Elephas maximus indicus: one gene and its partner. The protein of the gene in region 2 interacts with the protein of the main gene of each other region in a pairwise test. Links are inferred from orthologs where the notes say so. Each region holds a gene or a part of one and is shown on either strand. Other genes may lie near its edges.

What was found.
Region 1: the proteins of DMRTB1 (region 2) and VASP interact in a two-hybrid assay, tested with the Homo sapiens proteins (2 studies listed by BioGRID and IntAct). The two-hybrid records come from large-scale screens. The link is inferred for Elephas maximus indicus from reciprocal best matches to the Homo sapiens genes DMRTB1 and VASP.

Annotation. Positions count from the first base shown.
Region 1 is NC_064829.1:104,187,911-104,191,655, forward strand, and holds the start of VASP (vasodilator-stimulated phosphoprotein), read right to left. Parts: upstream 2,221-3,745; 5' UTR 1,895-2,220; coding exon 1,890-1,894; intron 1-1,889. UniProt on the Homo sapiens protein: Ena/VASP proteins are actin-associated proteins involved in a range of processes dependent on cytoskeleton remodeling and cell polarity such as axon guidance, lamellipodial and filopodial dynamics, platelet activation and cell migration.
Region 2 is NC_064821.1:96,788,987-96,792,731, reverse strand, and holds the start of DMRTB1 (doublesex- and mab-3-related transcription factor B1), read right to left. Parts: upstream 2,908-3,745; coding exon 2,331-2,907; intron 1-2,330.

The DNA of each region.
Region 1 (3,745 bases), on a different chromosome or scaffold from region 2:
CATGGTTCTCCTGAATCCTAGTCCTTGGAGAGGGGGCAGAGCCCAGAAAGGGAGACCCTGCAGGAGGTGGGAGTGACCCTCTAGTGGGATAGGATCAACTTCTGCCCACCCCCCAGGAGGTGGGAGGTTTGGCCACAGCCATCACAAGAGGGGGCCCTGTGGGAGGGCCAGGGCCTCGGGGCTGGGGGTAGGGCGGGAGGCCGGCCCAGAAGCTGCTCCTGCCCTTTTACGGTCTCACAGCGAGTGAGGCAGCACTAACTCGGACATCCGCCATCCGCCTTCCTTGGGACCGGAAACGCGCCTGGGGGGGACAAGAGGCGGGGCTGGGGGGGGCAGTGGGAGAGCAGCGTCCCGTCCCAGGGGAAGAGGGTGAAGGAAGACCGCAAACTGCCCCCTCTCCAGGGCAGACCTCAAGGGATACTGCTATAACAGGGAGAAAGCTAGACAGGAAGTCTCGAAGATGTCTGTGGGTGCCCCCTTGCTCCGAATTTTCCAACAACCCCTTTCCCAGCAGAAGGAACAATCGGGAAGAGAGTTCTCTAATGGTCATAGAAAGGAATGCCACCCGAATATCAGAGGCAGGGGTGTAGGGGAAGTGGGAGTGTGCGGGCACCAGGGGGTTAATCCCCAGCAGTCCCCTGGGGCCTTCCCCCTTAGGCTGGGGGCTTTGGGGCAGGAAGTCCCAGAGAGAGTGGAGGAAGGGAGATAGTATTGTCAGGCTCCAGCCCCAATGGAGAGATTATGGAGGGTTGTGAGTCCCTTCCCCTAGCCCAGCTCCCGCACTAGCCCCACCCTCAGGTGAGCCCGGGAGTTTTAGGGGAGGCCTCATGAAGACACAATCCCTGGGTGCCTTGGCCCCTCACCCTCAGGATTAAATTCTTGGGAAGATAACTGGAACTCTCTGGGAAGCTTAGGTCCCAGGGGGAGAAGGCTATGACCTTGAAGCTTTCTTGCGCCCCTTCCTCCAACCCCACAGCTCCCGAGGGCCCGGCAAGGCTGCGGGGAGAGGGGGGGTAGGTAAGGGACCGGGGTGAGGAGAGCTGCCAGCCCAACGCGCTCTTTGCCCGCCCCCCACACCAGCTGTCTCGACAGGTGAGTCAGAAAGACAAAGGCCCCCCTTCCCCCAGCTGCCGCGCCCCCTCCCTCTCTAGGGCCGCGCAGGTGGGGGAGAAGGGCCGCCCTGCTGGCTGAGGGCGGGGAACCGCCCTCCGCACAGAGCGCTCGCTCTGTCCTAGGCACGGCCTGTTTCGGGAACCCTGTGGGTGCAGAGAGGCGCGGGAGGGGAGTCCCAGCCAGACCCTCGAGGTTGCGTCTGGGTCCATCAGTCCGTCCGAACTGACCTCCTCCACAAGAGGATCTTAGTGTCCCTCCCCCCCAAAATTTAGAGGATTAAGACGTACCCCTGAAGTTAGGAAGCGCGGTTCCAACTGGGGAGACTTTTCCAGCGCCACGTAAAAGGGGACCCCGCTAACAGGGGTCTGCGTGTTTGCCTCTCTCCCAGGCTCCAGAGTCCCCAAGCCGATCCCTCCCATACCCCGAGTTGAGGTTTGGGGGGATTCTGGGGTCTGCCTAAATTCTGGCATCTCTGCGGAGAGAATTCGCCAACTTAGAGGTCCCCTGAAAAAGTCTTTAAAATTCGGGAGTCCGCCGGAGCGCCCCCAAATGCGAGGGCTCCCAGGAGAACCTCACCGGCATCACCCCGAACCTTAGGAGTCTGGGGGAGGTGGCCAGTATTTGAAGCTCGTCCAAGGGGATTCGGCCCCAAATCTAAGGCTCCTAGCACCCGGTCCCCAAATTCCAGCCCCAAGCGAGCTGGGGGAGGGGGGACAAAGGCAGGGCGAGGAGCCCGCGCCGGGCGGGGAAGGGTCGGGCTGCAGTTCGCGGCTCACCTCATGGCTGCTCACTGGCGGGTGGCGCGCCCACGGGGTGAAGGCTCCCGGGGCGCCCCTGGCTCGCTGTTCAGGGGTTCGGGGCTGGCTCCAGGTTCTGCTCAGTCTCCCCCAGGGTCCCGCCCCATAGAGTCCGGCTTCCTGGGGGGAATGTGGCCGGGGCCGAAGCGGGTCCTCGGTCGCCTTCTCCCCCTGAGGTTTGATGGGGGTCCCTACGGCAGAAAGGGGGTGCGGCGTCCCCTCCCCGGCGCGCCCCTCGGCCGGCAGCGGCTACAATGTTACTCTTACTACTGTACTTCTCTTCGCTACATTTCGTTCCAAAATTCCACTCCCCGCACCCACAATGCCCCGCGCCTTAAAGGGGCCGCGGCTGCCTCAAGGCTGGGGGTGGAGGGCGCTTAAAAGGGCAACGCGGCACCGTTGACTTCCGCTATTTTCCTTGTCCTCAATGTGAGTGCATAGGGGTGCACTCCGGGGGTCACCCAAAAATTGGGGGGGTAGCTCGGTAGAAGGGAAAGGGATCCTTTCACGATCCCTATGTCTCCCCCAGTATGGAAATTCTTAGGGCGATCGAAACGGGCACAATTTTTCCCCTCTCGTCCTCCCCATTGACTTCTCCATTTCTTTCCATGTTGCTAAATTTTGGGGGGCGAGGGCTCGGACCCTCTGGGTAAACACAGATTCCCTCAAATTTTGTCCCTTAAACCCCACCTTCGGAGCCCCCAACGTCTCTGTCTTCTCTGTTTATGAGAGGGGTTACTGGGGGGGTGAGTCCCCTATCCCGTACAGGAGGGGGATGGGTGGTTAGGGTCCCACCCTTCTAACCGCCCGCCCCGGGAAGGTGAGGAGGAAGTGGTCCGAGGGGGCGCGGCCGGCCTATGACTCACAGCCGCAGGGTCGGGGTGTGGGGTGAGGAGGGGGGTGGGGGCTGGGGAGACGGGCGGGGGTGGGGGGAGCGGCGCTAGCCTGGGGTAGGGATGCGACGCCGGGCTCCTGTGTGGGCCCCTCCCCACGCACGCCCCGCCATGACTCAGTTTCTCCTGCGGAGGATGGAGGGATCATCCCAGCAATCTAGGGGGCCCGGAGGCGGGGAGACGCCCAGGTGTCCCTTCCTCGGGTCCCCCTTTCCCAAGCGCCCGCTCAAGGCAGAACGCAGCGCCCGGACCTCTTCCGAGGCTTCCGCAGCGAGTCCCGCAGGCCCCGCCCAAGTGACGTCACCCCGCGCGGCCACGCCCCCCGGAGAGTGCCACCTTGTCCGGGTGAAGTGCTTACAGGAGGGCCTGGAGCCTGAGAAATCTTCACTAAGATGCGTGCAAATGGGTAGACTGAGGCCTGGAGGCAGGGAACGTATCTGGGCTATGGCCCTCTTGCCGGAGCCCCAGGGTGTGAGTGTAAAACCAACATTTCTCAGGACCCAGCAGATTCGACGATGCCCTGTTGCTGCCCTCCTTCACCTGGGGAGCACCTCACCTTCTAGGCCAAGCCCTGAAAGGAATTCTCTGAAGCACCGAGTAAACCCCCTCCCCTTCTCCACCCCACTGTGGATACCCTGAACCCTGATCCACCTAGCTTGTAATTGTTCTTCCGTGTGTCTTCTCCAGGTGGGAGTTCTTTGGGGGCAGGGTTATACTTGATCGATTTCTAGGCTTCACCCAGCCCTGCCAGACTCAGCAGCAATCGAATTAGGACCTCAGTTCCGTGGGATCTTGGTCAAGTCCTTTCTCCTCTCTGGGTCTCTGCTTTTCCATCTGTGAGTATTTCTGGGTGCCAGGGGTCAGCAGACTTTTTCTGTAAAGATCCAAATAGTAAATCTTGTAGACTTTGGGGGCCACGTAAGTCCGCTTTCACATATTTTT
Region 2 (3,745 bases):
ATCAGACAGCTGTTCCCTCAGGACCCAGATTTTTCTAGAATGTCCTAGAAGTCAAAATGGCCTTTTGAGAGCATCCAGAGGAGAGAAACTGATAGATAAGGAGCCTGCCACCCAGCCTCCTGACTCAGACCTGTGCGCTCTCTACCACACTGCCATAGGGAAAATACCAAGAAAACACATGTCCACACCTAAAGGCTTATTTTTTTAAAGTCTCAAATCTGTATGTGAATTGCACCCACTGGCAGATACAGGTTCAGTGGTAGAAATTTCTAAATTTCAGTAGGTGCTCCTCATATATTAATACAGACGATAGAGCACACAAGTAGCACTGTCAGGGAAACCTCTTAGACATGACACCTTACAGGATGAAGTTCTCAGGCTCAAAGGCAAAGGACCATAGACTCAGGGGACATCTACATCAACTGACATATCATAGTTCATAAAGAAAATGTTCTACACTCTACTTGGAGAGTATTTCTGGGGTCTTGAAAGCTAGCAAGCGGCCATCTAAGATACAACTACCGGTCTCTTCTAGTCAGGAGCAAAGGAGAGTGAAAAAAACTAAAGACTCAAGGGGGCAATTAGTCCAAAGGACTAATGCACCACATAAACCAAAGCCAGCACAATCCAGAGACCAGAAAAACTAGATGGTGTCCGGCTACCACAACCAACTGCTCTGACTGGGATTACAACAGAGAGTCCTGAACGGAACAGGAGAAAAATGTAGAACCAAAGATCAAATTCTCAAAAAAAAGACTAGACTTGCTGATTTGACAGAGACTGGAGGAACCAGGAGACTACGGTCCCTGGACACCCTTCTAACTCAGAATTTAAGCCACTTCTGAAGTTCACCTTACGTCCAAAGATTAAAAACAAACAAACAAAAACCAAATCCACTGCCTTGGAGTCGATTCTGACTCATAGCTACTCTACAGGACAGAGTAGAAAGAACTGCCCCACAGGGTTTCCAAGGGGTGGCTGGTGGATTTGAACAGCTGACTTTTTTTGGTTAGCAGCTGAGCTCTTAACCACTGCCCCCAGGAGTCCACAGCCAAAGACTAGGCAGGCCTATAAAACAAACAACACACATAAGGAACGTTATTCTTAGATCAAGAATATGAGATCAAATGGGCAACACCTGCCCCCAAACAACACTGGACAAATGGAAAGTGATCTGGGGGTGAAAACTGAAAAGGAGGAGAGTGCGTGACACAATGCGGGATTTCAACCAATGCCGCAAAGCAATTTGTGTATCATTTTTTGGATGAGAGACTAACTTGCTCTTTAAACTTTCACCTAAAGCACACACACAAAATCTGTGTGATTAAAATTGTACTTTACTACTGAAAACAGCAAGACATAACAATGCAATTTAAGCACAATGTGGAAGAGAAAAAAAAGCGGCAAAAAGCTCTCAAATCAACTATGCCCCTCCTGTGTAAGCAGAGGCTGCACCAGGAAAGCAACTTCATTCCCGCCACATCCAGGAAAAGGGCGGGAAGAGGTGCACAGGGCATTGTCTTGGAGGAGCCCCCAGGTCCCAGGAAGGGAGGGAACCCCCTGGAGGCGCGGTTATATTTGAGCCGGCCCACCTAGAGTGGAGCCCTGTCGGAGGAGCTGCCAGCCCAAGAAAAAGGCGGGAAGGGGCGCGCAGGCGCATTGTCTTGGAGGAGCCCCCAGGTCCCAGGAAGGACGGGAACTGCCTGGAGGCGCGGTTATATTTGAGCCGGCCCACCTACAGTGACGTCCTGGGGGAGGAGCTTCCAGGCCAAGAAAAGGGCGGGAAGGAGCGCGCAGGCGCACTGGACAGGGTGCGGCCGAGATGCGGTCCTCTGGGAGGAGCCTCCAGCCTACACAAAGGGAGGGCAGGGAAGGATGCGCAGACGCAGTCCTAGTTGAGCAGGCCACCACAGGGAAGCGCTGGGGGAGGAGCCTCCAGTCCACTGGCGGGAAGGGGTGCACCAGCTCCGGAAGTCTCAGCAGAGGAGGAGCCAACGCCAACTTGGCGTGGGGGCCATTTTTTCTTGGAAAATGGCAAGGCAAACCCTGTAGCTGAATATTAAAAGCCCTCCGGACCACCCATACCTTTTTATCGCTCTATTGCCCTTTTTGCAAAAACGCATTGAACCCAATCCATGTTCTGAGGAAGGCTTCTCAAACGAAGGTTACCCTTGGAAGGCATTTCCCCACCTCCACCACCTTCCCAACCCCACGGCCCATCCCTGCAGGATCCCGGCGAGCCTGGACCGCCAGCTCGGGGAACAGGAAGACTACACTCCTGAGACGAACGGATGGTGGGGCTGAGGCAGCACGGGGCCTAGGAATCTTACCGAGGTCGGCGAACGGTGGGCTGGACACAGGCCGCAGAGGCCTGCGCAGCTCCAGGCGGCCGGGACATCCCCTGGCCGCGGCCTCTGCCTCCAGCTGGGGCCCCATGGAACTGGACATCGCAGCTGCCGCTCCTTCGCTCGGCCCCATGTGGCTGCGGCCGCTCACAACCGGGTGGAAGGCGCTCGGGCCCGGACTGGGGCCCCGCGGGGGCCTCTCGGGGAAGCCAGAGATCGCACGGCCGTGGGGTCTGGGCTCCGAGTCCCCCGAAGCGGCGGGCGACAGCCGACGGAGGCTTGAGCCCGGGATGGCGGCCGCGGCCCCAGTGGCCGGCTTAGGCCCCTGAGCGCCCAGGGTCGCCTCCTGCTCCTCCTCGGACGCCTGTCTCTTGAGCACTTTCTGCGCAGCCATTATCTTCTGGCGCTCGCTGATCAGGTAGCATTTCTCACAGGCGCACTGCTTCCAGCGGCAGTTGCCCGAGTGGCCCTTGACTGGCACCAGATAGCCATGGTTCCGACACCGGGAGCACTTGGGGGTGCGAATCATCTTCTCGACCAGCTTGGTAGGGTCTGTCTTCATTACACAACCACCACCTCCGGGAGCCGCAGAGCAAGTGGAATAGGAATGAGCAGCGCCCCACAAGTCCTTGGTGCTGGGGACGTTGGATACACTTGTAACAAAGTGGTTCTCAGTATGTCCCGGAACTGCAGCCAACACCCTTGCATTTTCCCTCCTTTTTGGGGGGGTGCAAAATTTGGAGAGTCTGAATTTCTGTGCATTGGGTAATTAGGTGCACAGGATTGGGTTGAATAAGTTCTTCATGGAATGCTATTGCATGTATGTCATTTGGGTGAGCTGAAGTCTTAGGCGTTTAATTCTCCAAACTTTTTATTCCCGCCTCCCCATAGATAGAAGGTATTTTGTAACTTCAAAAAAGGCGGGGCGATTTTCAACGGTCCACAGATTTAAAGCTCCACAGGAATGTTGCTCTCTGTAAACCCATTCCAGTAGAAAAGCGTTCTAAAAGGCAAACCGTGTATCTCCTCCCAAAAGCTGCCGCTTCTGCTGAATTTTATTTCTCTTCCCTGCAGGGAAGCAGCCGTTCATGGTGATGCTTCCAGAATATTCTCAAGAGCTCAGCGCAGTGTGATGGTTGCTCAAGGGCGTGTGCCCTTAACAGTAATTCCCGTTTAAGAGTTGCTAATACAAACGAAACCCATTGCTGTGGAATCGATTGGACTCATAGCGACCCTATAGGACAGAGTAGAAACTCCCCATAGGGTTTCCAAGGCTGTAAATCTTCAGGGAAGCGGAGTGCAACATCTTTCTCCCACAGAGCGGCTGGTGGGTCCAACTGCCTACGTTTTGGTTAGCAGCTGAGCGCTTTAACTACTGCAGCCACCAAGACTCCTCATCT